Linked DNA regions of Styela clava. The protein of the gene in region 1 purifies or fractionates together with the protein of each later gene. This does not show direct contact. Links are inferred from orthologs where the notes say so. Each region holds a gene or a part of one and is shown in the gene's direction. Other genes may lie near its edges. The genes, in order: pre-mRNA-splicing factor ATP-dependent RNA helicase PRP16-like and nudC domain-containing protein 1-like.

Region 1 (16,102 bases):
CAGGATATCACATCTACACTGATAGATTTTATACCAGCCCAACATTGGCGGTGAAGCTTCTAGAAAAGGGAATGCATACAACTGGAGCCGTTCAAAAAATCGTAAAAGTCTTCCAGAGGATCTCAAACGCTCGCGCTTGAAAACCCATGAAACAAAAGTTTACCGACACTCCAGCAAGATGCTAATAGCTTTAGGTTGGCACGACAAGCGTACTGTGCTTATGCTCAGCACCTGGCATATTGCAGATGTGAAGACTGTTTCACGAGTAATAAGAGGAGGGCAGCAGGAAGACTTTGAAACGCCCCTGGTGATCTGTGACTACACAGAGCGCATGGGGGCTGTTGACCGCTCAGACCATTACTGCACATCTTATTCGTTTACCGCCTCGACAGTAGTATGCGCTATAAGCTAAGAATTGTTAAGTACAAACACAAAATGCGAGTGTTTCACCACTGGAGGTGTGAATTTTTCGTCTTTTTCTCCTCAAATATAAAAAAAAAGAACAGAAACACCTTAGAAGAACATGGAAAGGAAATGATTTAGTATATAAAAAAAATTAGACCTGTGGGAAACTTTTTGGTAAAAAAATGCTCGGCGGTGTGGCGCATCGTGCTAAGCGTTAGGAGTACGCTCGCCACCGCATCTCTGATTACTCTTCGTGGGTTCGCAGGTTCGAATCCCGTGCGGCGAGGATCATGTGCGAGGGGATTGCTGGACTCCTCGCCGCCGTAGGGTGGTTCACGTAACCGCTGGTCGGTTACGGCTTCCTCTACCATCAAGTCTATGCTTCCGAAAAAAAAAAAACATATAACTAATTATTCCCATACCCGACATGGAATGGTAACCGGACGAGAGGCCGTGGTTCGCCATATGGTTAGGCCGTCTTATCGGCTTTCCTCTCCTCCGGGATGAATATGTAAATCCTATCCTTCAAAAATTCTTTTAAATGCTGACCAAGAACACTTGAATGAATTGAAATAAGACTAGTCGAACGGTAAATATCATTAAGCTTGCATGGGGCCGGATCCTTCATCAAATTGACCAATTCAAATGACAGTCGTGCATAAATCACACCTAAACACCGATTCAGCAATTGGCAACTTCCATTTAAATAATTTCGTTAAATTTATTAAACATTCATTGTCATTTATAATAAATTTAGTTGAATTACATTTTCAACATTTGACACAATGAAAACTGTTAGTGTATTTATTTTAACCGATCTTGATCCAATCAAACAAAATATCGTTGCAATTTGAAATCTACTCACTCGTCGGCGCCGGAATGTCTGGCGTCAAATCTGTAACGGCGACGCAACATGACGTCGTCAAGTTCAACGAGTGCGTCAGATGCTATTATTCTTCAAGAAAAAGATATTTCAAATTTAATTTTTTTCTCGAATCTCGTGCGATATCTCTCGATCAGTCTAATTTTTTTTATATACATTGTTAACGCCCTCTATCGAATGACGGTAATTTGACGAAGTTGGCATCGGCAGAAGTCAATCAATCAATCAATCAATTTTATTTGGTCACTCTGATACAAACAAAAAACAAAACATCAACAAAGGGTAATCAGTAATCAGTAGTTTATTTCTCACCATACTTAAAATAGGCACAAACATACAAATTGCAATAAATTAAATTATAAATTGGCCATATTTCAGGGTGAAGGAGACGCGAGAAACCAATACTGGTTATCGAGCAGCGGCACCTATAAAAGGTACAAAGGGCAAACAAAATTCAGAGGACCTGGAGGACGGGCATAACTTAATAATAAAGTTAAATACGTACAAGTACGTGCCCGTCCCCCCAAAACAGTCAAAACACAATAAAACAAAAACACAATGTGATATCGGGCAATATCTTGTAAATTCAAATTAAAATGTGAGACGTGTATATATGTGCTTTTCCTACAGATATATGTATCAAAGAACACTCGCTGCCGAAAAATGGTGATGCTGTAGGCCTAGTTTAATTACGTTCAATTACGCAAAGTAACACAGTGACAAATTCACAAGTCACGATTTAAGCCGTTCGAAACGGTGTGTCAATTTTTTGAGCTTGTCATTGTTCGCTATCCCGATTCTATAATCAGTTACTTTTATTTTTATCTATTATTTTATCGTCTATTGCTGATTATGGAATCGAAAAAACTTTTAGGGCCCTAAATTGCGGGGAACGGAAATGACGGGAAAAGTTACTAACAAGCGGGAAAATGTTACAAAAAGCGGGAATGACGGAAAATCGCTCGAAGATAAAGGAAATATGTATTATAGTACGATTACTACGTACATGCACCCTTAATAAACGACACTTCGGATGTATTTGCAACAAAATGGCGCACTACCTGAGATTTAACCTGGTACACATACTTGGTTCAGGTTGTGCGCCATCTTGATGAACATACTCGGGAGCACTGTATAAACTTGCCGTTACTTTCGCCCTTCAGTAAAAATTTACCTCACACATACTCTAAAATAATATTTCTCATACCTTAAAGCAAATTCCCGTCATTCCCGTCTTTTGTGAAATTTCCCGTAGTTCCCGCAATTTCAAATTGACAAATTCCCGTCGTTCCCGCAATTCCCGTTTTTTAGTGCATTTCCCGTCGTTCCCGTTTCCCGCATTTTAGTAAGGGGGAATTTTCACCAAATAGCGGGGAATTTCACACAAAGTGGGAATGACGGGAAATTGCTCTAAGATGGGGGAAATGGGCATTTTATTGTGTATGTACGGGAAATTGTACTAGAAGGCGAGAGCAACGGGAAATATACACTTGAATGTGTAGGTACAAGAAATTGTATTAAAAAAGCGGAAATTACGGAAAATATTACTCATAAGTAGGAACTATGTGATATTGTGGGAAATTTCACTAAAAATTGGGTGGGTATAAGGGAAATTCTCTAAATAAGCGGCGATGACGGGAACAACGGTAATTGATGGCGATGACGGCAAAAGCGAACGTATTGACAAATGATGGGGAGATCGGAAGAGTAAGAGCATCGCGTAAAAAATAAATAATATGTATTTAGCTGTTTTTTAGCTGGCGATCTAAACCGTCTTCCTTTGTTTTACGTAATTTATTACGAGTGTTACTTGTATATTTTTGTTATTCAGTGAATTGATATTTCCTGTTAACTTAGCATCATTACAGTGCTGTTTTATTTGTGTGAAGGGTGTTGCCCAATATTGTCTTATGCAAGTACAGGTTTAATGCTCCCTATAATCTGAATCTTCCTTCTAATTCTCTTTAAAGGTACTTTAGTGGAATTAACCGAATACCCTCAGAGATCAAATAGGAACGCAATGGATTGTAATGCAAAATTTTCATATATTGTAAAGTTGTACGATCGAATTGAATTGTTCCGAACAACAGATAGTGAAATACACTTAACAATGATGCAACTATATGTGATGAAACCAAATTCCATGGGCCCTTCCCAAAACTTTCAACATTTTTTGAAATGCAATTTGGCGACATTTGCAGTGAGAGATAAATTCTTATGACTTTTTCAACGTCAATGTGCTATATTCTTGAACGATTTACTGAAAACCGGACGTTTCCCGGCTTGCTATCAATAATCCCTTTTTCATATGAATCAACCGATAAACCAACTTACAACTTTACATTAATTTCCTTCAGTTGAGTTTTCCACTGAATGACCTAGGTTTCTATCACACGCAAATTTAAATGGATCGTGTACCCGAAATTTCGTTTCAATTTTGTTAATAATTTGCAACAGCACACCTTCTCTGCGACTAAGTTATGGTACGCCTTGACATGAATTGATAAACGATCAGATACCGACTTCTAGAAAACATTTAATTTTGATTGAAATTTAATTTAAACTCCGTTGAGAGTGAAATATTTCGCGTATATATTTGAAGAGAACTATTACTGAACAAGTTCATTCGCCGGGCATGTTAATTGACGATCATGTTTTTTATTCTGACATTTATATTTATGCTATTTTATTCCCATTTGTTGTACCTCCATTTGAGTGGCGGTAAACGAAATGAGGGAACACGTGGTAGAACACTTCTTGCAGCAGTAATCATAAAAGAAATGTAGCATTTTCTCCTAATCGTTCTCGGTTGGAGGTTTATTTTGAATGGGTTAATTACTTTTTTGTGTTCGAGCAAATTCCTGAAAGCATTTCTTATTTATTGTAAGCCAGTTGCAAATAAAATGTCTTTGTCTTGTTACACTATGCTGCTAGCATGAATATATGCTCGGTATCTCCTTGTTTAGCAAGCTCTATCGCAATAATGAGCCCATATATCACAGAGATGACAAAGATCTGTGTGTACAAAGTTTTCCTTTATGTATAACCCAGAGTCACAAATTATGTACTAATATTTTGGAGATAATAAATCTGTAATGAGTCCAGCCTTAATTTAATATAACAATAAGTGAAATACCACAGTCACATATTCTGGGGTGGGACTGCGGGAACCAATTCTGTTACTGTTGCAGCACTGTTTTGGATGGTACAATAGAATTGTTTCCTGCGCTTATTTTCACAATTGAATTGCATCAAATTGCCTCAGTCCTAAGGGGATGGTTGGTCAACACCGAATAGTTCACTATTTATTATATTATTTTCAAATATGAAATTTCGAATACATTCGAAAATAAAATAAAGTAATTGAGGCTTATCTATAGTAGCCTATATAAAGGAATTTGCATACAATAAACAATGAAATAACTGTTATCAACAACATGTTGTCTACCATGCATTTCATGATTGCAGATTATTGCTATATATTTTCATATACCATGAGTTACGTTATCAGAATTAAATTAATACGACAAGCATTTAAAATAGAGCTATCGGTCATGGATTTGAACATTTTGCGCAACACAAAATCATCCTAGTAAAGTTTGAATACCAACCATTATCCAAATTATTTGCCAAAAAGCGGGATAAAGTATAAATTATATTTCTGACTTGCGACAATTTTTTCGTGAGTACGTAAACACGAATGAAAAATTAATTATATTCGGGCACTTCAGTGTCCGCATATATATCTTTCATTATTTTATCATTACGAAATTATGAATATGGAATTAATTATAATCGGACAGTTTACCACACATTTAAGTCTATGGATCACCGTTGTATTTTGTAAATACGAAAATAGGAATCAAAAAATAAATAACAATCGCGCAGTTGACCACACATCTATGTACATAGATTGCCGTGGTATTGTGCCCGAATATAATTAATTTTTGATTCCGTATTTCATTCCTCTTAACTCTGTTAACTTAATATCTGTTTTTAAAATTTTGCAAGCAGTTCACGCACGAAGACTTTAAATAATGATGTATTAGTCAAATTGAAGTCCTGTTAGACCACTGGTTCTTAACCAATGTGTCATGGCCCACTGGTAAGCCTCAGAGCCATTTTGAGGTGGGTCACAAACATATTATAAATTACAAGGTTAGTTGATTGGAAAAATTGATTTGATAACAAAATCAGCTTCACGCGTCTTGAAAAACAAGATATCTATTTGCAAAACATGCCTCGCCGTAACCCACCCAATGTGGCGCAACAAATCCATTATACGGCAGTAACTAGAAATGAGTATATATATATAGCAATTTGCTTGCACATTACATCAAAATTAAAAACATTATAACGAGAATGTCATGGCCTTCAATATTCGCCAGGCTCGAACTGAGCATACCATATATAAAAAAGTAACATAAAACGAATCCATTGTCTCATAAATATTAAACTAATATATTAAATTTTCTTCACTATCCGTCGGAAGAAATTTCATCCACTTCGTCCTTTTAGTTTTCAGCTTTTTAGTGACTTCAACCACATCAACACCAGTCGGAAGAAATTTCATCCACTTTTTCCTTTTAGTGTTCAGCTTTTTAGTGACTTCAACCACAATAACCCTCGTCCAAAGAAATTTCATCCACTTCTTTCTTTTAGTGTTCAGCTTTTTAGTGACTTCAACCACCTCATTATTCGTCGGAAGAAATTTCATCCACTTCTTCCTTTTAGTGTTCAGCTTTTTAGTGACTTCAACCACCTCATTATTCGTCGGAAGAATTTTCATCCACTTCTTTTTTTAGTGTTCAGCTTTTTAGTGACTTCAACCACCTCATTATTCGTCGGAAGAAATTTCATCCACTTCTTCCTTTTAGTGTTCAGCTTTTTAGTGACTTCAGCCACCTCGGAAGAAATTTCTTCCACTTCTTCGTTTTAGTGTTCAGCCTTTTAGTGTTTTTTAATATTTCACCTTTGGGAACACTTCAACTTCCGTTTTTCCGCCACTTCATCCGTTTCTTCCTTCAGCCTTTTAGTGTTGTCCTGTACGGGGTAATTGTACTAACATACATATTATCCGAATCTTAGAGCGATTTCCCGTCACTCCCACTCTTTGTGAAATTTTTCGCTTATTAGTGAAATTTCTCTGTCCACACAACCCAAGCGTATATTTCCCGTTGCTTCCATTTTCTAGTGCAATTTCTTCTAAACATACTCTGAAATGAGTATTTCCCGTACTTTAACGCGATTTGCCGTCGTTCCCGCATTTTAGATAAATTTTCACGTACATACACCCCCAAGTGTATATTAACCATTGCTTTCGCTTTCTAGAACAATTTCCCCTAAACATACCCCAAAATGAATATTTCCCGTACCTTAAAGCGATTTTCCGTCATTCCCGCTTTTTGTGAAATTTCCCTCTTTTTAGTGAAATTTCCCATAGTTCCCGTAGTTCCCGCATTTTAGTGCATTTCCCGTAGTTCCCGTTTCCCGCATTTTAGGGTTGCCCCTTATTACGCCACTGTGACGTCGAAAAAACGTAATTTTTCGGTAAGGTGGGGGTTAGGATGAACATATGCAAAAATTGTTGAGCCATACCAACTAGAAGTGCATGTGGTACTAAACTATACCAGGCCCGACTTGATGGTGGAGGGAGCCGTAACCGACCAGCGTTTATGTGAACCACCCTACGGCGGCTTGAAGTTCAGCAATCCTCTTGCACATAACCATCCTCGCACTGCCGCATGGGATTCGAACCTGCGAATCCACGCAGAGTAATCTGGGGTGCGGTGGCGAGCGTATCCCTAACGCCTAGCACAATGAGCCACACCGCTGCGCATATTTTCACGTCACATTTTTGTTTGGCGATATTTGAGGAGTTACCGTACAGATTACCATACTTCGCTAGACCCGTTATTTGTTTTGGATGTATGTCCCCCAAAATAGACTACAGTCTAAAATTTAGTTTTGTCATTTTCCTGATAAGCTAATTGAGTGCCGTATTTTACCATGCAACAATATGATTAAGCCGTTTTATTGAACTTTACTGTCCCAGAGATAAATATAAAAATGTATGTATATATGTTTATTCGTCTCGTAAAAGCAATATAAAAGAATTAGTAATTATAAATACTGAAGACGGGATGTATGCACAAGACCATACTGGCCTAAAACACGAATGTGCGGCATACACCCCTTCTGATATGTATAATATGGTCCTTTATACAGATAGTTGTGCAAGGAGGGTGGGTGGGTGTGGTAACAGAGGTTAGGGTGAAGTATACAAAACTGTTTGTACAAAATTGTTTACATTAAAACAATATAGACTATATATAGTTATATCCATGTTGCAGATATTAACCCTCTTATCTTCGATTGTACAATACAGTTATTAGACACTTATAATGGATGACAATGATGACGAAAGCATTCATCGACTTGAGGGGACAAACAACAGTGGAAAAGTTTTTGGATTAATTGTAAAAAAGGATAAGCACTCTAGCAAAGAGCAGCATGTTTTCAAAAAGCCTTCATTGCTGGGACTCGATAAACTTGCCGATCAAAAGTATAACAAAGAAAAGGGGGCAACAAATTATCATGGAAGAAATTATCGGCCAGCCAGAGTTGAAACACCTTCGTATACCGGTGGTGTAAGTGATTCATATAAAGAAAAAGCAAAAAATCGTGAGGAAAAACGAAAAAGAGAAGGGTATACCACTTCAAGTGATAAGAAACGTCATGATAAGGGTCGTTCGAGCGAAAGGAAAGACGACAGTAGAAAGCGAGAAAAGAGAGATGATCGCACTCCTAGGCATTATAAGTCTGATCGTCGCATGCAAACCCCTTCCAGAAGTACTTGGGAGGAGGAGGAGTCAGGATACGGTTCACGGCGATCATGGGAATCACCATCGCCAGCCCCATCATATTATAGATCTGAAAGGTCCCATCGTCCGACTAGTTCAAGGCGTCCTAGAACATTGGAGACACCATTACAAACACCAGCTCATCGTTACAATGAATGGGCAGATGATAGAAAACGCTTCAAAGAAACTCCAAAACGAGATGGTGAGCGTGATGACAGTGATGGCGGAGATTGGGATGACGTAGATAAGCAAGCTGATAGAGATTGGTACATGATGGACGAGGGGTATGATGAAACACATAATCCATTTGCTAATGCTTCAGATGAATATGTGCAAAAACGAGAGCAGCATATGAAGACTCAAAAAAGAGAGAAAATATCTGCACAACGAAAACAAATTAATGAAGACAATGAAAAATGGGAAACGAATCGTATGATGCGTAGTGGTGTTGTTTTACAAACTCACTATGATGAAGATTTTGAAGAAGACAATGCAGCTAGAGTTCATCTTCTTGTTCATAATATCGTTCCTCCGTTTCTAGATGGAAGAATTGTATTTACTAAACAGTTTGAACCTGTTATTCCTGTAAAAGATGTTACGTCAGACATGGCTATTGTATCACGAAAAGGTAGCCTCACAGTTCGAAAGCACCGAGAAATGAAAGAGCGAAAGAAAGCACAGAAGAAAGAATGGGAACTAGCTGGGACGAATATAGGAAATATCATGGGAGTTAAAAAGAAAGATGATGGTGAAGACCCATCAGAATCTGAGGAAAGCGATTTCAAATCTCAGCAAAGATTTGCTAATCATATGAATGAAAAAAATGAAGCAATGAGTGAATTTGCTAAATCCAAGACTATGTTGGAACAAAGACAATATTTACCAATATATGCAATTAAAGAGGAAATCTTAGGAATTATTCGAGAAAATAATATTGTAATTATAGTGGGTGAAACTGGTTCCGGTAAAACGACACAGCTCACACAGTATTTACATGAAGCGGGATATTCTTCACATGGGGCCATTGCTTGTACCCAACCACGTCGTGTTGCTGCAATGTCAGTTGCAAAGCGGGTCAGTGAAGAAATGGGTGTCAAGCTGGGAGAGGAAGTTGGGTATGCGATTCGATTTGAGGATGTCACGAGTGATAAAACACTCATCAAATATATGACTGATGGTATTTTGCTTCGTGAGTCGTTAAGAGACAGTGATCTTGATACGTATAGTTGTGTTATTATGGACGAAGCTCATGAAAGGTCTCTGAATACAGATGTGTTGTTCGGATTGCTACGTGACGTAGCAGCACGTCGACACGATCTCAAGCTTATTGTAACATCGGCTACTATGGATGCGAATAAATTTGCTCAGTTTTTTGGTAATGTTCCTTGTTTTACTATTCCTGGTAGAACTTTCCCCGTTGATATCCTTTATAGTAAAAATGTTGTGGAGGATTATGTTGAATCAGCTGTAAAGCAAGCTCTCCAAATCCATGTACAAGGTTTTCAAGGCGATATACTTATATTTATGCCCGGTCAAGAGGATATTGAAGTAACTTGCGAACAATTGACAGAAAGTTTAAATGAAATTGAAGATGTTGCTGTTCTGGCAGTTTTACCGATATACTCTCAATTGCCTTCAGATTTGCAGGCAAAAATATTTCAAAAAGCCCCTGAAGGAATTCGGAAATGCATCGTTGCCACCAATATTGCAGAAACATCATTAACTGTTGATGGAATTATGTATGTCATTGACTGTGGATATTGTAAAATGAAGGTTTTCAATCCTCGCATAGGTATGGATGCTCTGTCAATATACCCAGTCTCACAAGCCAATGCAAATCAAAGATCTGGTAGAGCTGGAAGGACAGGTGCTGGGACTTGCTACAGGCTATTTACTCTGAACCAATACAAACATGAAATGCTTGCATCAGCTGTTCCTGAGATTCAAAGAACTAACCTTGCAAATGTTGTTTTGTTACTAAAATCACTCGGTGTACAAGACCTCTTGTCATTCCATTTTATGGACCCACCGCCACAGGATAATATTTTAAACTCTATGTATCAATTATGGATATTAGGGGCCCTAGATAATACAGGTGCGCTAACGACATGTGGTCGTACAATGGTAGAATTTCCTCTTGATCCCCCATTGTCAAAAATGTTGATCGTGTCCTGTGAAATGGGCTGCAGTGCTGAAGTTTTAATCATTGTTTCCATGCTTTCTGTCCCATCTATTTTCTACAGGCCGAAGGGACGAGAGGAAGACAGTGATACCAAAAGGGAAAAATTCAATGTCCCAGAAAGTGACCATATGACATTTTTAAACGTCTATCAACAATGGAAAACGAATAGGTATTCCACAACTTGGGCTAATGAACATTTTGTTCATGCAAAAGCAATGCGAAAAGTCAGGGAAGTAAGATCTCAGCTCAAAGAAATTATGGACCAACAAAAAATGAGATTGGTCTCTGCTGGTAATGATTGGGATGTTATTCGCAAATGCATTTGTGCAGCATACTTCCACCATGCCGCTAGATTGAAAGGCATTGGTGAATATGTTAATATAAGGACAGGTATGCCGTGCCATTTACATCCAACGTCAGCATTATTTGGAATGGGATTCACCCCTGATTACATTATCTACCATGAACTTGTCATGACATCGAAGGAATATATGCAATGTGTAACATCCGTCGAAGGCGAATGGCTCGCAGAACTGGGTCCCATGTTTTATAGTGTAAAAGAAACTGCAGCTTCCAGGAAAGAAAGGAAGAGAGCAGCAAGAGATAAAATGTCAGAAATGGAAGAAGAACTCTATCTTGCTAACGAACAAGTTAAAAATCGCAAGCAGGAGGAAGATGAACAAATACAAAAGACATCAAAACGTTTGGTTATTGCGACACCGGGTAGAAAAGATGGAGTTGCGACACCAGCTACACCAAGACGTACTCCCAGATTTGGTATTTGAATTTCAAATCTGTCAACACTACTAGTCTTGTTCCACTCCCCTGTAGTATTTCTAAACTTCCTCAATCATTTTTTTGTACACCAATAAAATTCTATTGAGAACATTCAGTCTTATTTGTGGCCTGCCTGTGTAGTGCATGTTTCTAAATGCTACATGCAATAATTACACAAAGCAGACTGTTCAATAATCGCTACTCAGGAACAAGCTTGGCTGTTGAGTGTTGACTGTGTTATCGGGTTAGAACTAAGTCGTGTGTAATAATACATCAATTATGTACCAGTTTCATGTATCTGAAACAATTGACAGGCTGATAGTTATTACCATACATCACAAAGATTGGTCAATGAAACCTTTTTACCTTTCACCGTCAAATGATTTTGATTTCCTATGTCCAGCATCTGCCTTTGACAAGTGATAAAAATGGGAAATGGCCTTACACAAAATAACAAATTAGGCGGTTCAAAAATGTCCTGAAATTTTTTTATTGGACACACAAAGTGGGTCGTTTTTTGCTGGTAATCATCATGTTAGTATTTCTTCTCAATCTTGATTAATTAATGGACCAATTGCTCTGAATTTTTCACTAGGAGGGTTTTACCTATGTCAAAAAATTTTTTTGGCTCCTACGGGTGTGATGACATCATCGAAAATTCCCTGTTACGATTCAGCTGTGATACAGTACTGTTGGCTACTGTGACAGATTGCATAACTGTACCGCTTCCTGTCCATATATTTGAGCATCGCTCTCTTATTTGATGATTTGGGCATCGACACAGAGTAACCTAAAAGCAGCTCAGTACACCATATTCAAAATTGGAAGCGCACATCGAGCCTAAGTATACTTTATCTGAGATCAAAAAATTAGTTGTGTATCATAGGTTTATTAGTAGAAACACAAAAAAATCATACGTAATTTTAATTAAGCAATAAAAACCAAAGTAAAAAGTCAACAAGTGGAACAAACACTTTTGCTTCACCAATTGTGATTCAAAGCTCTATGCCCTAATCTACTCCAAACTTAATAATCATGACTGCTTCGCAGAAATGTTAGCTAGATAATCAGTATCGCTTGGCTCGTGATGGAATTACCATATTTTTACAGCCCTCTGCAAAGGTGAGAAGGACAGATCTTTTCTTTTTTCCCTTTGTCATATAATGAGACAGAACATCGTGATCTGGAAAAAATATACAAAAAAAGTGAGCGACCTATGCTCAGTAAAGTATATATAAATATTTTAATTCATAAATTTCAATTACCTGAAGATTCGCTTAGCAAAGGTTGCACAGTTGATGGCAGTACATTGTCACCAGCTGATAGTGATATGAAGAAAGTAAATGGTATCACCCACAAACATAGTGTGAAGAATGCCATAATCTGTGAATAAAAAAGCATATTAACCATATTTAAATCTCAAATATCGCCACATCATTCTAATTGTTTGCACCTCTGATTACCCTGAGTGGATCTGCGGTCCAAATCCTGTGCATAGCCGCATAGACATACAAATTGGAGAATTTCCCACGGCACCCCTGACAATATTTTACGGCACACCGGTGTGCCGCTGCACCCCGGTTGAAAAACACGGCCCTACATTGACTGGCAACCAGACGAGAGGCCGTGGTACACCATATGATTAAGCAGTCTTGTTGGCTTTGTTATCCTCTATATATAAAAATTGGGGAATTCAAAATAGGAAAACATTCACATGTAATAAGGGCTGGAAAAAGATAAATAAATAAGGTGTAAATTACCTCTGCAAACGAGTAAAAGACATCGCTAAAAAATTGAAAGGCAAAGTAATGATTGACAACAACTAATACAACAGTGAGAATAAAGTTCGGTGAAGACATTTCGATAAAAGGAAATGTTCGGAGTAATCCAAATTCGACAACATTTGTAAATAATCCAAGTACAATGATTGTGAATGGAAAACCTTCAAAAATCCATAACCCAATGTAAATCCCACATGAAACCTGAAAAATAATTAAATGAATTAATCAACTTACGTACTGAGACGCTCACTAAATGTTGAAAGCTTTTCAGATTATTTGAAAAAACAGAACCCATGTCATTAGAAAAATATTGTAGAGAGTACATAACTTTTGTGCAAAGCATTCTTCTTGTGTAAAATAATACAGAAATTTGATACAGTTTGTGTTTACATCAGTGTTTCCCAACCCGAGTTCGCGATCTCAAATGAGTCCGCAGAGCGTTCGAATGAGTCCGCAACGACCAAATTGGAAAATTATGTAGTAGTATATTTAATGTAGGTCACTAACCTTTTCAGTATCGCGAAATTCATTGCGGGGCGAAAACCTTTTTACCATACTTAAAGTACAAGCCAAGTTACGATTTATGTTAGTATTTACATAAGACATAAAAGGCAAGTTTATTCACATAATATTAATCGAGTCAATAATTACTGAGGGCTGGGCAAAATATTCGAACAGCAAACTATCAGAATACCTGGTAATATGTGAATTGGACACAGCACGTCAATCGCGCTGAATCAAACGATTGGATTGCACAACGGACTCGCAGATTTCTGACAAAAACACGAGTTTACACGTACTTTTCGCTTCCGTTAAAATTGAGTGTTATATTTGTGCTTTTTATTTATTTGTTTCCCGTAACATCATTGCTACATTTTTTAATGAGCTTATTGTGCGCCAATATCGCATGAATTTCACATCTTTTCAGTGGGCCAGGCCATTTGGTAAAATTCGAATCAGCAATACAAATGACAAAAATGTAACATTTCAGAATTTTCCGAACGGATATATTAATTTGAATATGAAATACCATTAGGTGAGTTCTATCAGACTTCAATGGATACGCAGTAACAACATTTCGGAGGATTTGTTTCAAAGCAAAAAAACAACAACATAGACTCGATAGAAATTGCTGGCTATCAAATGTATCACTTTCACAAGGAAATATATCTTGTGAATGTGATCTACAAATTTCAGTATGATATAGTTAATATAAAATATATCAGGGAGTTCCTATAGAGATATAATAAGGCCATAAAAAATATGATGGCATATAAAGCTAAAATAAGAGGAAAGACATATAACTACTTTACCATGAGCATTACTCTTAAAATTTTCTCTGTTATAACTGTGTATTCTTCAATAAGTTCAGCCAAATAATACAATGCAGCAGCTGAAATAATAACAAAATGTGGCTGTTTTATTAATTACAATTATGACTCAGATTTAATAGTTAAAAGGTTGGCAATACACCAGTTTGATTTCTCATAGTGCAGTGAATTAAATTCATGAAGGCAGTAAGAAGCCCAAAATTCTAGAAGTGGTAATGTCAATAAAAAATAAACAACTGTTCAAAATATGACTCGACATTGTTGACGAGTGATAGAATGTCAGAATGTTGACTCATGATTATAACACAAATAATATCTGTCACAGATTATTTTAGATTTATTATGAGAACAAAAATTGCAACTTACCTATGGACAAGGTAACAAACAATATTTGTAAAAGTATAGAAAACCAGCTTAAGAGCCACAAAAACCACATCTTTGCATGTAATGGTCAAGAAATGCTTCAATTTGCTGGAGAGAAAGTACGGTATGACTGTGCATGAAAACTGCAAAACAAACCTTACTGCCTTAACTTACAATACACTTCAACTATGCTGTTTCAAATACAAACGAAATATTTAAACTATGTACAAGTGAAAATCATTTGAAGTTGTTTAATGATGATTTATAACAATAAATTCCGACATTGCATAAAAGGATATATTGAGACCTAACCTAGTTCCAACGTTGAGACACTGCAGTATCTGTCAATGTTAGGCCATTAAGTAAACTGTTACCAGTACTATGCAGGATTGGGTTGAATCATTTCCATTTTATCTTTCTGTCATTAGTATTCATATATTGCAGCAAGCAACTGAGCAGCGGTAGCTAATTATCCAATGGATTATTAAGTAATAATTAGTGAATCAGCGTTCGGCTTTTTGAAAAATTGTATTCGGATACTAAATTTATACCAAATCCAAAAATATGAAGCAAAATATTCTACAGTGGTGCTGCCCCATCTCAAAACGGTTTGCGACCAGCGGAACGAAAAATCATATCGAGCGACGTCATCTGTATGTTACGGGTGGGTAACAAGCAGACGAAAAGCGACAGGAACAAATCCGTTCAGGGCAGAAGGTTGTTGAAAATTTATTATTATTTTAATTACTGTTCTGTATATTTTTAATTACTATATATTTTCTGTAATATTTATCAAACACATAAGTAATGTAATTTGGAGAATTCAAATTTTATTGAATTGTATACGCATGGTTGCGCATATCCATAGTAACATTATGCCACATTCAGGAATTATTGTGCTGCTTTCGTGCCAGATTTTGTTTTGCTGTCGCCTTTTTTGAGTTAAGTTGTAGGATAGTATAAACACAAAATACTTTTTATTTTGATTTTTACATTGTCAAAAAATTATGACATCGGAAGCAGAAGAAGGGCCCTTTTATCTGGAAGGTAAGTCAACTTAATTGCATTGAATAGACTTGACTTGAATGGTACCAGTATTTCGGTGAGCGGTAAATTCTGAAATTATAGTACAGTAGTATCTTAGTGCATTTCATTTGGAACTAAATATGCTGACATCAGGAAATAAACTGTCGCTTATCATGAAATATAAGCTATTCACATTATTTTATGAAATTGCTAAAATAATTCCATAACATAAAATTATAAATATTATCAATGACTAGAAGAGAAACGCACACGGATTTTTTCAACATAGCCTATATAATTGGCATTATTGCTTTTTGTGTCATCTTTAATATGAATGCTGAAATGAATATCGTTTTTTGTTTTTATCAACAGAGGTTTCAATACCGAATGATTCAGATGATGACTTCCAATATGAAGAGGTTAGTTTTGGGAATTGATTTTGCCGTGCTTTTAAAATTATCAAACAAAATATGGCACTGAATAGATGAGTA
Region 2 (16,313 bases), about 7.1 Mb from region 1:
AGGGGGTGTGCATTTCCGATACGTCGATAATATCTTTGTCAACCAATTTGCGGCCATCGTGTTTTCGTCTGTTTGATTGCTGTGATGTGGTGCTTTGTTTATTGGACACGTAGTGGACATAACGATCGTTTCAATATTATGTTGTTGTTCTTGTCCTTTGACACGTTTTTAAAAAGTCGCTTTTCTCTTCGAATACTGGACCAATTGCTTTGAAATTTTCAGTGGTTAAAGATTAATTTTTTCGCTAGAAGGCTATTACTTTTGTTTATTCTTAAATTTTATATGAATCCTATGAGATATGATATTTCATACAAAATTTCGCGGTATTTATTTTTACTCACGGGAACACTGTTTTACACTTATTTCAAGCGGTTTCGCGATCGATTGTCTTGCTCAGTACTACAGCTACTGTAGGTCGGTACTGGTAAGTTGCCATACCGGTACTGTAACGCAGTGAAATTGACTTATTCCTTCCGCGGTATTACTAATGCTGCAATGCGAGTTTTATAGCCTATCGTATGCGGAACGGAATATCAGACCTACAGGTTCGGTACCGGTACTGGTAGCTCAGTACGTAAGTACGATACTGGTACTGCTGTACTGGTGCCGGTACCGGTGTCTTACCACAATGAAATTACCGTAACTTAGGATAGGATAGGATTTACATATTTATCCCGGGGGATAAACTTATTCTTTCACGGTCCTACCAGTGCAGTAATGCAAGCGTTGTAGCACTTGTAGCCTACTATATTTGTTTATTTTGATGAGAGTCTACTGGAAACAACATAAAATTTGAAAGGGAAGAATTGTTCTGTGATCAATTATCTGTCCTAAAGTGTGAACAACATAAAATTTGCAAGGGAACAACTGTTCTGTGATCAATTACCGTATATGGCCTACAGTGTACAGGTAAGATGCTGGCTGACTGCTAACCGGTACTGGTAGCTCAGTACGTAAGTACGATACTGGTGCCGGTACCGGTGTCTTACCACAATGAAATTACCGTAACTTATTCTTTCACGGTCCTACCAGTGCAGTAATGCAAGCGTTGTAGCACTTGTAGCCTACTATATTTGTTTATTTTGATGAGAGTCTACTGAAAACAACATAAAATTTGAAAGGGAAGAATTGTTCTGTGATCAATTATCTGTCCTAAAGTGTAAACAACATAAAATTTGCAAGGGAACAACTGTTCTGTGATCAATTACCGTATATGGCCTACAGTGTACAGGTAAGATGCTGCCTGACTGCTAACTCAGTACCGCTTGACACGTTTTTAAAAAGTCGCTTTTCTCTTCGAATACTGGACCAATTGCTTTGAAATTTTTAGTGGTTATAGATAAAAATTTTCTCCAGAAGGCTATTACTTTTTTTTTCGCTATGACGTCATCAAAATTATGTGACTCTACGTGTCCATATATTTGAGCATAGCTCTCTTGTAATTTAATGAGTTTTGTTCGAAATAACCGTGTTCTTGAAATATATGACGGTCAGAAATGCAATTAGAAGCCCAATGTTTTCACGCTGTCTGTACGAGGTTTAGCGTGTAGAATAAATGCCGCCAATGCACCCACGGTGAAAAAATTAACGGGTTAGATATATTGGTTTTTGTTTTATAGCGGTTTGAATGAAATTGTCCGCAGACTGGCTACACCACCCTAGGCCTGGTGAGTTGTCCGTGTAGTCGAATTGTCCATCAGCCCTAAACGGCTAAGACAGTCACTGTACCAAAAATTGTACCCCGATTCGGCTGGTGTTAAGTTGGCGCATGTTATTTAGTAACGTTTTTATGTGAAATGTTTGACTGTGGTTCAGTACCTGATCCGATAATACGGTACATAATTGACTCATATCACGAGATATTTCAACTGATGTTTCAATTGTCACAGGACCTAAAATATCTATGACAGTCCCTGTACCGTCACGGTACCCCGATACAGGTACTGGTAAGTCACCGCCGGTATGTTAGTCGTTGGTCACCGCATATGATTTTTGGGGAATTGTTCTGCGTGTCCATATATTTGAGCATTGCTCTCTTGTTTTGATGAGAGTCTACTGGAAACAACATAAAATTTGAAAGGGAAGAATTGTTCTGTGATCAATTATCTGTCCTAAAGTGTAAACAATATAAAATTTGCAAGGGAACAACTGTTCTGTGATCAATTACCGTATATGGCCTACAGTGTACAGGTAAGATGCTGCCTGACTGCTAACTCAGTACCGCTTGACACGTTTTTAAAAAGTCGCTTTTCTCTTTGAATACTGGACCAATTGCTTTGAAATTTTTAGTGGTTAAAGATAAAAATTTTCTTCAGAAGGCTATTACTTTTTTTTCGCTATGACGTCATCAAAATTATGTGACTCTACGTGTCCATATATTTGAGCATAGCTCTCTTGTAATTTAATATGTTTCTCCCAGTGTCGAGAGAAGTGGAAGAGGCAAACGAATTGTATTTCATTACAACAAATAATTATTATCCCTAAAAACACTAAATAGGTTTAAAGTTGTTATACACAATTTTAAACAGTGGACATATTTTTTCACGTCATGAATTTTGTGCAAGGCCCGAGCATAATTTGATGGCAAAGATCATAGCATGTAGTATGTCGAAACGCTTATCCGACTTATCAGACCACAGAAACTATGCAAAAAAGATAAACATTTTTGTGTTCGAGATATAAAATAATCGTTAATTCCATCACGCTTTCGCGAAGTAGTGCAATTCACTAAATTTAATGAAAGTTTTATTTCATTGCACCAGTGTTTGGGCTACCAAGCGTTTTGCCAGATTACTGGCGTGGTTACAGATCGCCAAGGTGGGCAAAGTCGAATAGTTTTATCGAATCGAATAGTTTTATCGAATCGAATATTTTAAACGAATTGTCAAATATCAGGTATTCACAACGCTATGTTATTGTTACGTAACAATATACGCGGTTGTGTTTATTGCTTGGCGTTCCAAGTTCGCTTGCAGCAATGTTGATGTGGATCACGCAGAACCAAGCAAGAAAAACGAAAGAAAGACTTTATTAGGCAATATGATAGCAAAAATTTGGAGTTAGGTTTACTATTGTTCCCAGCAGCGAAAAAGTACCACTTCCCAGGTGCCTAGTCTGTGCAAAAATTCATTTAAACGACGCAATGAAAACCCGCAAAGCTAACGAAATCGCTTGGAAGTCAACGCTCTACTCGCCTTGCAGAAACTTCATTAGAACCGGATTTAACACGTATAACATCAAATTCTTCATTAAATTGGATTGTCTTCTTTTGCACCGCCTACTTTTGTCGTAATTGCATTCTTTTAATTATGTTTTGTGTTCATGACATTTTTGGTTAATTTTGAAGGTCCGCCGGTCCGCAAAATTTGTTTTGAAATTTTACCGGTCCGCGAACTGAAAAAGGTTGAATACCACTGCTGTACACCAACTAATAAAATGTACAAATAATGCAAATAAGAACTTTATTAGAAAAACAGAAAACAATTCCACATCACGTGAATAAAAGCAAACACTGTACAGTATCTTAACATCTTTTTTTTGCTTTGAGTCCATAACAAAGGGCAAAAGTAAAAAAAAAACGATCAAACAAGTTACGAAAAAAACGGCTTGAACAACCAAAATAACGTACAGTATCACTGAACTGTGTACAGTACTATATCACTGGAACTGTGTACTGTACCATGTGACTGTAGCTTAGTGATTATTCGTTCACAATCGTAATAGTTCGCAATTGGTCACGTCATTTACGATGTAAATAACAAAAACCAATGAGCCCAGAGCACTGATTTTCTTGATCACAATGATCCAGTTTATAGGCTTAGATATTACAGTAGGCTACAGTATTATCTTTTATATCTGTATATGTTCGTAACCTCGAAACAGCGTAAGTCGTAACCCGAGGACTTCCTTGTATATGGTTTAACCGTAAATATATACTACTACGGTTCAACCGTAGTAGTATATATTTACGGTTTCCCCGATTTAAAAAAATGTACCACAGTTTCGTCATTTGTGTAACATTGGAGGAAATTGTTTATGCATGGCAAACTGTTGAATAGAGCAGTGGTTACGTTTAACCGTAAATTTATGATTTAACCGTAAATATATACTACGTAAATATAATAGTATATATTTACGGTTTCTTCGATTAAAAAAAAAAAGGAAACACAGTTTCGTCATTTGTGTAACAATGGAGGAAATTGTTTATGCATGGCAAACTGTTGAATAGAGCAGTGGTTCCCAAACTGTGGGTCGCGACCCCCGATGGGGTCGCGTGAAGATTTTCCGGGGTCGCCTAATTTCTTGCAAACATGCGAACACAAGTGACTAGGATTTTAAAGTTGGAAAATCAAATTTGTACTGGTCGGCAGATACCGTAAAAGTACCTAACTTTGGATTTTTCAGCAATAACTCGACAATTTATTGTCCAAACGGCGCCAAAATTGCTCGGTAGAACTTTCATGCGATACTTTTCCAGCTGGCCGGCAGATAACGGTATTAGTAAAAGTAATTGAATGACCATGGTACGAGCGCCAATTATATTTTCCTTTTTATAGCTTTTTGATCATGTTACATCCCTATGAGTAGTTGACCCGATGGTACGCGAATCGGGTTTTTGCCAGGCTGCGAGAAATCATGTTGATTTGTGATTATGTACCAGTGTAGCCGCTTGGTTACCGAAAATACAAAATAAATTACTTTATCCGGCGATTGGACCTTAATCAGGTGTTTGGTAAGTGTGGTATTGGTTGACAGGCGGGGTCTTGACCAAGTAATTATTAACCTCTAGGTTTCGATCCGATGCGAAAGCGCTTTGTTAATTCGCGCACGTGTCTAAAATCTACGAGTAGGCTACGTGTTTTGTCCACACCGCCTCCACATGGTGAACATTTTCGTATTGCAATATTACGTATTTAGACGTTTCACATAAAATTACGAAGCGTTCCGAGCAGTCAAACACAAAACCACAAGTCCTAGCTTTAATAAAGGCACTTGAAATATGTGATTCAATACACGCTTTTTCCTATTTCACATTCATGCTCTGTTTTACTTTCGAATTAATATTTGAGCAATCTGTAATATGTTAATATAGAACTGAAAATAATAAAGACGCTGTTGGAATATACTAAATAAGAGAACAATCTTACGATTTCCGAATATCGTACGCGTCCTTACAATCTACCACATTTTATCAAGTACATCTATGTTTCGTCAAAGAACCGTTATAATTCTGATATAACAGATTATTACACCGTGGTTTTCATACGATTTCATGTGTTATCAAATCTTCTGAGGTTTTTCCGGCGCATTGCCGGACTCGTTCATATATTTTTTGTGCCAATGTTCACCGTCAACGTCTACTTGCAGTCGATACGTTTCTAGTTGTGGGGTCGCGAGTATTTGTAGGCTTTGATTTTATGAAAATTGGGGGCGCAAAAAAAAAAGTTTGGAAATCACTGGAATAGAGGATATAGCGTAAAAATGTTTATAAATGCGAAAAAAATTGATGCTTCTAGAAGCGGGAACTGTCAGTCCATATAATCTTTTATTAATAAGAAAAAAACCTTAGACTGATTTCCAATTACTGCTGCATAACTCATTGAAAGATAAAATGATCATTGTGTAGGATAGGATTTACATATTTATCCAGGGGAGAGGAAAGCCGATAAGACGGCTTAATCATATGGCGAACCACGGCCACTCGCCCGGTTACCAGTCTAGGTCGGGTATGGGATTAGTTAGCGAGTTATTTGTTTTCGGAAGCATGGGCTTGATGGTGGAGGAAGCCGTAACCGACCAGCGGTTACGTGAACCACCCTACGGCGGCGAGGAGTCCAGCAATCCTTTCGCACATGATCATCCCCGCATGGGATTCGAAGGGTAATCAGAGATGCGGAGGCGAGCGTATTCCTAACGCTTAGCACGATGCGCCAAACCGCCGAGCCAATAGTGTAATTTGAACCGAGAAGCGAGTGTAATTTGAATTAAGCCTAAACCTCAACTGCACTCAACACCAGATCCGAAAAGGCCAAGCTTCTATTAAAATTAGTTCGTTACCGTAATTTTGTTTCAAATCAGTTCGTTACGGGTACCGGTAAATAGGCTCCGTTGCGTATGTTTATCTATGGACGGATAATTTTAAAGGTTTTAAAATCCGCTGAGAGTAGAACAAGAGAGCTACGCCCAAATATATGGAGACGTCTGTTCGCAGTACGGTTTACCGTACCGTCAGATCACAGTCTACAAATATATTCACACCAAGCAATGACATTAAACAACATGATAGGCAACTCTGACGTCACTCCGTAAGACTACAAGCGAAAGATTGTATTTCATGATACGCTCCAATGCACATATTTCTCGTCGCCTGTCGCGACCGTTTTCAGCTCGCTTTTGCTACTCGGCGTCTTCTTTACGTGTAGTACCTGCCTTTTTGCGACTGTAACGAAAGAAAATAATCTCTATATCTAAGAAGTTTTACTCACTTGGAAAGCTGGAATGGCAGACAAGCTGTAAAGAGCAATTCTGGACATCATAGACGTTTTTTATCAGAGAAGATTACAAACGCGATAGCGGAAAGATTTGTGTGGAACATTTTGCAGATAATAACAAATTTCAAAGTTAGTAATTTTAATGTTTGCGCTTAAACATTGAAATTTCATTTAAAGAGGGTGTCATACAGGACAGCAAAACTGTTTTTACTTCTCCTAACGGTGCTGTGATACAATTCCATAACGTAAAGTTTGCACCTATCGAACTTGTTTTTGTAGGTGAATTAATTAGACATATTACATATTCAGTTAATCGTAGGTAACATTGCTGGTACATAATGCCTCGTAGATAGGTTTGTTTAAATTTAGGAATTCAGCTCATAGCCCACTAATTAATATTATCTTCTATGCAGGAGGTTGCAGGGCTGGATTCAACTTGCAGCCTTACCGATCACCTGACCATGCTCATTTAGTTTGGCTCGAGCAAGTCTTCTTGAAAGACTTGTGTGAATGGAAACTACCTATATGTTTTTGCTTTCCTCCGATTTTAGAAGACAAATTTATTCTGAGGGATTTCGCATATAATTCTCATTGGTTGTTGGCTGTTTATAATTCCTATTAATTGTGAATTCTGATTATAACAAAGAGTTAAAAAAAAGTTACGTAATTTACTGGCACCTCTTTTTTGTCAATACTCCAAGCTGAGGTAATAAACAGGACAATACATTTATGTCATCTGGAAGCAAAATATGCACACTAATTAATAGTTTGACACATCATCAGAAAATCCAAGTTAAAGATATGTATGACCATCACATGGTATTTAAAATTAAAAAAAAATTAATAGCGGCTGTGGAGTATGAAAAGTTCAAGACAAAGAAAAGAACAAAAGTTCATAGTTCATGAACTCTTAATTTTGCCTCCATTGCTTTGTGAAGGCCAATATATTTCGAGTGGCCGAATTAGTTTCCCTCTATGATAGCAACGTTTTTGTATTTAATATAGCAAGATTTTTTTCAATTTAATTGAAGTGATATTATTTCCCAAAGCAATGCTTGAATCGTCTAGAATAGATCAGTGGTGTCAAACCCATGGGTTTTCGAGAGCCGCATTGCATTTTGGAAATTGTAATAAGGGCCGCAAACAGTTTTTGATAATGTATACTTGAAAGATATTTTTAAGATAGTTTTAGTTTGTGACATATGTTGTGATGCAACTAAACAGTTGCATTAAGTTTCATTATTTTCTTTAATTTCAAATGCAATTACATATTAATATTTGCATTCCACTATTATTGCAAGTTACTGTATTTATTACAAAAAATCATGAAATTCTCTGTACATCCATCAAAATCATTTTTGAACAAACTTTGGATAAGGAAAGAATAATACATACACTAAAAATGACTTAATTTAAATATATGAACCTAAAATTAACAAAAATACTACAGTATAAACTCAATGTTTTTTAATTACATTTGTCCTGACGTTTTGTATCTTTTTTGTGTCACCAGCATACTAAGGCCAGGCTGAAATGATTTTATAGTACCAACTCTAACTAACGAGGTCACATGATCATGAGCTAATCTGGATCTTTGCGAAAATTAATTCCAATAATGCAAAAAAGTTATTTTTATAATTTCATGTATAGATCAGTAAAAAAACACATGACAGATTTTTTCGACAAGACATTTCGCACCACATTGCGTGGCATAGGATTGCTTGAATTATTATTGATATCGATTTTTAGTAACTAAGTCGTTGTATAATTATATTAATATACAAACACATGAAAATTTTCTGTTCAAAGTTGCTCTTCGAATTTGTCATATTGACTGCTGAGCTTATTGTGTTTTTTCATTGTATTGATGGAAATATGACAAATTAAACAATGTGCTTCAGAATTTTGTGAAATGCAGAAATATTGCAACTCTCATTTTCTTTGAAAATGCCACCTTCTTCATGTACTTTGCGTTTAATTTAATCACTCAAGTGTTTTATTCAAGTATTCTTTTGCTAGCTTGATGTGTATTCTTAATTGGGTCAAAATGTGAACAAAAAAAAATTAATTTTCCAAAACTACTTTCAGTAACTTGTTTTCTGTGTGAATAATCAATTTCACTTTAAAAGGTTTGAAAAATCTATTACATTTAGATAGAAAAAAAAACTTCCAAAATACTATTACAATTATTGCTAAGCGTTCGAGGGCCGCACTGGAAGTTCTCTGGGGCCGCGAGTTTGACATCCCTGGTCTAGATTGAAGTTGTCCAAAATATATATAACAGTATTTTATCATGAATATACCCTTTCCTGAATTTCTTCTATAGTACTACCAAAAGTTGATGAACCAATATAACACAGGTGTAGCTGTTATAAGTATGTCTGGCGTGTTTTGTGCCTTTTTACAAATAGGACCGCTTATGCAAGCTCACGCTTTTGAATTTTTTGTTATTTTCTAGCCCTGCAGGGTGTGGGGGCCTTACACAACTCTACCGGAGGGTCAAATGTCTTTGCATGCCTCCATAGGTTGTTTTTCTATTGCAAAAATTTATGGAGTACTCTAATTATATTTCTTGGAATCACACGGTCACTGATATGTCGCCAGACTTCTGATATCTCCCCTTCTGCTATAGTTGTCCTGTGAATAAATAATAGGAAATTGAGATCAGACGAATAGTTGAAACTTTTGCTTTATGTCGGCTTAATTTCTTGATTGATATACTTACTATTTTTGCTATTGCCTCTTGTGCTGCAGGAGTTTCACAATGCTTAAACAGGTTTGTCCAGATTCACATCTGAAGAAGGAGAGGAGATTTATTAATTTTCGTCAAGAATAAATGAAGCAGTCTATATGATTTAGAATGGAAAAGCTAATAAGGCCAACATCTCATGTTTAATGTAAAAAATGTTATATTGAATTTGGTATATAAACCAACTAATAAAGGAATTTAGTCAGAAAATTACAAGCATTCGTGGCTCCATATACTTGAGAGATCAGACTATACAATATAGACCGGTATGAGTGAAATGTTAGGTGAACTTGTTAACCCTTTGATTCAATCCTCACTGATTAAAAAAAATCTAAATGGAGGTGCATGAACTATTTGAAACCATAAGAGGTAAGTAAATATGCAATTTTGGCAAATGGGCAACTACGTACCGTACTGAATTATTAACTTCGTAGTATTTGACAAAAGCTGGCTTTCCCACAAGTACTTAACAGTGCGATGCCCGGATGTGGTATACAACAACCTCAACTTTCCAAAATATCAATAAAATCGACAACAACTGTCAAAGCCGGCACGAACACCATTCGTGCTATGCCTTGAAAGCAGCACACATCCGCTCGTTTTCGTCTCGTCAAGTATGTGCATTGGAGCGTGCTATCGGATACGATCTTCGGCCAAAAATGCCGTAGTTGCGCATCATGTTGTTTAATGTCAGTGCACCAAGCGAAGCAGTACAGTAGGACACAAAATGGCGTCCGATGTCCACAGAACGAAAACAAATCTCACAGAGCTAACAGAAATATTTAAAATTGGGAAAATTTTTATCTCCAACCACTGAAAATTTCAAAGCAATTGGTCCAGTATTCGAAGAGAAAAGCGGTTTTTTAATATTTCTACTAGGTGTGTTATTCTGTGTCAAACAACAAGAACAACATAACATTGAAACGATCGTTATGTCCACTACGTGTCCAATAAGTAAACGATTTTTGTTTTCATGTCACCTCTTCGATGTATGCTGCCACTTATTGCCTACGTGACGCCACGCGTGCTGCAGTTGCTTTGTAGAAACAAAATTTTATTTTACCTGGACTATCGCGGTGGAGTCAGAAATGGAAGACGAGTTTGATGTAATTCTTTTCGGTGATTCACGCGAAAGAGATCGTGGGTATGTAGAAGGAATAGCGCACGGATCCAGAGTTGGAAAGCTGGAAGGTTTTTCAACAGGATTGAACCAAGGACGTTTGACAGCTGGAGAAATTGTTTTTTATCTGGGATTTTGTGAAACATACATTATGCAGCTGAAAAATTTATCGAGTAGTGCAAACTCAAATAATTTTAAATCTTCTCCCGACCAAAGTAAACTTACATTAAAGTTGAAAAACACAATCTCGCTTATAAACGAGTTTATAACCCTCTCACCAGAGGATGAAAAATATTCAAAATATATGAACGACATTCGAACGAATCTGAAAATTTTGTCCTCAAAATTGAAAGTTTCTATTAGTTTTTTAAAAAATTCTAGTGATGTAAATTTTTAATAGGAAGAAATAATATCAATTTTTGGCTATGCACTGTACTTCTTTTTATGATTGACTATTTTATGCCATGTCTGCATGTTGTTTACATGAAGGTGTGCTCCAAATCCTGGATATTGAATTTTAAAAGGATATGTTGTATCATATTTCGCTACGATGATAAATGTTACCTAATTTAACTATCTGCAAGTGTATATTCTCATTCATCGTTTTTTATCAGTGTTCACATTTAGTCACACAATTTTCGATGACCACTTGCTTGATTTTGTCAAATTCCTCACGATTGTAAGGTTTGGTTATCAGTGCAATTATGATATATTTTTAGTGCTCTTCAGTGTAAAATTATCATAAAATGGATGCCAAAAATATTAATTTGCGTCCTGACTGGAATTTATTGGATTCTACTTTTGAATCATATAAGCTGTCTCTACAGCAATTGCCGGTGTATCATGTAAATCCAGACTGTGAATTAGATACGGTAACTTTGGCTAATGACGATTTCTCATACAATCGAACAAAGGTTCTCTCCCTTCACAACTACTTATTTGGCGATCCATGGAATGAAAAAGAATGCTATTTTGTGGATAAAGCTGGTCATATTAAACGTTTGTCTGTTATTGTTGAGGCTTCAATAGGACAACCTCGATCAGTTTTTCAACTAGGATCTCATTTTTTACAAACTGAAAGGCATATGCCTGTAACAATATCTTTCCCCTCAGCTAATTTATGCTTGATATCTGATGGGGCAGGATTGGTATATCTTCTTGATACTGGGAACCGGCAAACTGATACAACTCAAAAAACAAAATGGACTATCTTATTAAGTGGGAACATAGTAGGTGAAAATTCGGAACCTTCTGTACTTCTGTGTTCACGGCAGCATTTTGAAGATGCAGAACCTGAATCTGGAGATCATGGAAAAAAAGATGTCATTGATATTTTGACTTTACGATTTCAGGATGAAAAGAAAGATGATGCCGTGATATCACAAGCTGTTGTGGAATGGACTTGGTTATTTCGATATGATGAAAAGTCCAAATTTGAAATTGGCGAACATAGAATGTTCAAAGGGAAACAAGCACCTTTCTATGCCACCTTGGGTGAAAGTGGTAAAGAATTATTCATCGGGTCACATTCACCAATGAAATATGCTACTGATTGGGAACAGCAGGTTTTGAGTGAAGAAATGGAGATTGAGAATGGAGAAGCTGCTGATAAAATGGACTCCGCACCAGAAAATTCAGAATCTCTGTATAAATGGACTCAAACAGATGAAGATGTAACTGTTATGATTCCTATGCCAGAAGGAGCAGACAAAACTTCTGTTGTATATGGCTTGTCCAAAAGTAAGTTAACTGTTGGTTTCAAGGATGCGACAGGAAAGATTAGTTATGTTCTGGATGGGAAACTATTTGTCGAAGTCGACCATGAATCGAGTAACTGGTCTGTTGAGGGCCAAACCTTGACCGTAACAATCTCAAAAGAATTGGAAGGCCAAAACTGGCCAATTGTTATATTAGGTGACACTAGTGGTCAGATGATTCCCAACAACGCAGATCAAGATGTTGACATGGAGACAAAAGATGAAATGGCAGATTTAGAAGCAAGAGGTTTTCAGCCTACAGGCCTTGATCACTACGAGGATTGTGATGACTTGCCTGATGCGGATTCAATGCTGTACATGTTTGATGCTACAGAAAACAAATTCACTTATGAAGCAGGCATAGCAAGTAATCAGTGGCTATTTAACTGTTACTATAATCATAAATTATGTACAGTGCTGCGACATGATATTGACGCTTTAGTATGGGAATCTGACACTCCCAGTGAGTCTTGTTCCAGTCCCTGGAAACATGTTGCAACATTCAATGCACTCGGGTACGTGAGAGCATCTAAAGAAGATGTAAAATATTCAGGATGCTCTCCGAATGCCTCTTATTCTGCATTATGTGAATCCAGCAGCAGGGTGTTTGTTTATCACAGCCCAACGACAACTGCGGCACCCCTTAAAAACCGAAAAACAGGCAAAAGCATGCATGTTTCGAAACAGCAAGTAGTCTCATTGCCTTCCAATGAACCGATACTTGGATTTCATGCATCTTCTGAACTTATGTTCGTGCTCACAGGAGCTAAGATTTTTATAATTAAAGTGACTGCTCCAGACACATGACTGTCAGTCAGATTCACTACAACAAATATCAATCATATCTACTGTATTGCAATTTTGCCGAAATAGAAAACTCTAGTGCAAAAAAAGTACTGCATTTCATTCATAAGCAAAAATGGATTGCTACAAACTCCTACAAATGATTGTTTACGTGGAAATTGTAATTGTGAACCATAAGGTGATGGACATGTGTTTTAAGCTTTCTTTTTCTTAGAAAAATACTGCTCTTTTAAAAACTCTACCACTTTTTCCTCCGCCAGGTACAATACATATAGAAGTCCTGCTAAGCACGCTGCTCCTATTATTATGTGAATTACATAGTAGATCATTGATAATCCGTGGCATATATTTTCTGACAACCAGCATATGGTGAATGCTGCAACAAATGTTTGCACCACAAACCAGTGAGGTGTCAATGCTGTTAGAGGATCCAATCCCTTGTGCCCTTTGAAATATCTAAAATTAATGGGGAAAAGTATTTTACTATGTACAAAACGATAATTAGATATATAAAGATACACAAGAACTGTTCAATTCACCATATAGTGAACGACGTAACATAATATGCCATCATCTTTTTCATAAAAAAGATTGATTGCTCACCTTTTTATGAAGTAGAAGCTGTGTATTATTCTTACAATCATGTTCAAGCAATTTGCAAAAATAAATCCAACTGATCCAAGATATATAGTGAAGTAATATGAAGAAGTCAGGAACAAGAGAGAAAATATCAACATCTTTTGATTGTACCTTGAAAATTAATATCATAAATGTTTCATAGGTGATAGGATATCAAAATATTCAATCGCAGCGATCTAGCCTTGTTCATAAATGTCTGGTCTAGAATGTGCATGGATGACCATCATGATTTCATTTAAAAAACACGCCAAACCGCCGGCATTCAAATCTTCGACGTTTAGTAGATATTTGAAATTGGACATGCAAAATATTCTGGAGCTACACACAATGCATAAAGGCGTATTTGCTAATAAAGACATGCAATTTTAAGCTTTTTAAAAAGGGTGTAACAACTTGTTTCTTTGGCCCACTGTTTTAATTCAAGCGTTAAGCACCCATTAAAAAATCTTTGCCGAGCCATAGCTGGACTGTGCTGTAGCTGTAACTCCCATAATACCGAGTATCCATACATATGGGTAAATACCAGTAGTTAAATATTTTGACTTGGACGAGTGGGTGGACAGGCGACCATGGCTCGTCATGTTCTCTCCCTTCAGAAAAAATACCATAATCAAAATTCTCTGCAAACTCACTTGTCAACATCTTTCTGGCTCATTGCAGCAAATACAAAGCATTCAGTTGTTCCATTAATTGCAATCAATAATACATAAAAGGAATAAACCCTCAATAACCCTGGACCAGAACCTGTATGAAAAATAATAAGAAAATAAATTGTGTAGAAAAACATCTATCTTGCATCTAGTATTTTTATAATATATACAAGCTGACAATTCTAATCTGTAACAAATATCTTCAAAACCTTGCATGCATATCAGTGAATTGCTAATTATGCATAGATTTCAAGTTTTTACCTTCACTTAGCAATGATCCTCCATATAGATGCAAAAATATGTAGGAGTAAGAGAATCCAAACACAAGTATTACGAGTCCAATCAAAACAACAAGCCGTAATACACAGAACAGAACGTGCCGGACTAGTTTGACTTTTTCCTTTGAAACAAAATATATATTTGTTTATGTAGGCACCCAACATGTGATTATACCAATGAATAATATGATCCTCTAAACCAGGGGTCGGCAACCTACGGCCCGCTGAGCAATATAATCCGGCCCGCGGCGCTTTGCTGAATTATAGTAAGAAAACAGCTGTTTTAACAATTATATTCTTTACGTAACAGAATTTATTATGAGACATGTGTAGACAAAATTATATTATAACCTAACAAGTATATAATTCATAATTACTCGTTTAATGAGCCTATAATTTAATTATAATTAGACAAATGGCAACAAAACGCAAAAAAGTTGATGCTAAGTGTAAATGGTTTATTAGAGCAGAAAATATTCAAATGGTCAGTCTTCGCGCTCTGCTTAAAATTTAACTTCTGACCTGTGTGAAAAAATGTGATTCATCGGCCATCGGTTTGGCCCGCGAGTGACAAAAGGTTGCCGACCACTGCTCTAAACTCTAATTTAACGTAAAACAGAGTAAATTTGATAAAATGTTTATGATTTGTTTCATCAATATTTTATAGTAGCTCATATACAACAAATACTGTAGGTACAGAATATTTGTAGGTACAGAATATGACCACATTGAGTGATGCATGAGAAAACGAGATGTGTTACTGTTACCCCAAGTTTACTATTGCAGCAATAAAAAAGGGATCTTTTATATTGGAAGTAATCCTTAGAATTAGGATTTTCATATCTATACCATGGAAAAGAACGTTCATAAAAACTGCTTAATCATATGGCAGACTCACAAATGGTTCAGGTTAGGTATAATTGCAATTGCATAGACTTTGGTGATGGAACAAGCCATAACTGGGCAGAAGTTACCCAGGTCCAGCAATCCTCTATTTTATGAAAACCCAAGTGTGTTCCTGTACATTGTGTGACCCCAATACAGGATTGGGGATTGTGTACCTATGACGCCTCTTCATAGTAACATACCTGATTTTGTGCCTGAAGTGGAACACCTCTCTCTAACATTTTAGCGAAGAAAACATAAAAACTTTCTTCAATTGGTAAAAATATGAATCTGAAAGACAAATTCAGTGTTTAAAACTAGATAAAAAACAACAGCCAATAACACATTTAACGGAAAATACCTTGCTGCCATTGATCCTAGATTATTAACAATATCATAAACTCCTTGATCTCCAAATGTTAGTACATTGAATATTGTCATCACATACTTTTCCCCTAAAATTGGGAAAACAATTTCCTTGAACAAAAACATTTCTTTAGACTATTGTTACTATAAATCTCTGATACGAGATGTCAAAAAGCAGCTGATGTGTTTGAATTGATTAGAATCTTTCAGAATAAAGTAGATCCAGTTGAAAAACAAATTGACACAAAACTGTGTGACAGTTCTCTGATGCAAATTTTAATGATTAAGATCATAGTGCCCATGAAATTGAATTTGCAAAACTAAAAAATCAAGTTTCGTCTCCAGATCTCAGACACAACTCCTAAGCTAACCACCTCACAAGTCACAATGGTTGCTTGTTGAGAGTCTTATTCTGAGAAAACAGAGTGAAGTGAAAACACCTAGAACATAACTAATTATTCAGTTACCTTCAGTTAATATTTGCTTCAGTGCAGACTGTTTGAAAAAACTCCATATCAAACTTGCAGTGTCACTATCTACTGATGATGGTAATGTGGAAGTAGGAAAGAATTGC

Evidence for each region.
Region 2: the proteins of pre-mRNA-splicing factor ATP-dependent RNA helicase PRP16-like (region 1) and nudC domain-containing protein 1-like purify together in Homo sapiens (co-immunoprecipitation; 3 studies listed by BioGRID and IntAct, with this or other methods). This does not show direct contact. The link is inferred for Styela clava from reciprocal best matches to the Homo sapiens genes DHX38 and NUDCD1.

The regions. Positions count from the first base shown.
Region 1 is NC_135256.1:11,009,535-11,025,636, forward strand, and holds pre-mRNA-splicing factor ATP-dependent RNA helicase PRP16-like, read left to right. Parts: upstream 1-7,656; 5' UTR 7,657-7,692; coding exon 7,693-11,118; 3' UTR 11,119-11,221; downstream 11,222-16,102. Other genes in the region: protein TEX261-like, read right to left, coding at 12,178-12,293, 12,376-12,493, 12,871-13,092, 14,205-14,284, 14,589-14,658; sperm-associated antigen 16 protein-like, read left to right, coding at 15,593-15,632, 15,984-16,030. UniProt on the Homo sapiens protein: Probable ATP-binding RNA helicase. Involved in pre-mRNA splicing as component of the spliceosome.
Region 2 is NC_135256.1:18,145,420-18,161,732, reverse strand, and holds nudC domain-containing protein 1-like, read left to right. Parts: upstream 1-10,039; 5' UTR 10,040-11,106; coding exon 11,107-12,924; 3' UTR 12,925-13,115; coding exon of another isoform or gene 13,116-13,377; 3' UTR 13,378-13,524; downstream 13,525-16,313. Other genes in the region: man(5)GlcNAc(2)-PP-dolichol translocation protein RFT1-like, read right to left, coding at 13,116-13,377, 13,525-13,671, 14,193-14,304, 14,472-14,610, 15,577-15,664, 15,735-15,828, 16,207-16,313.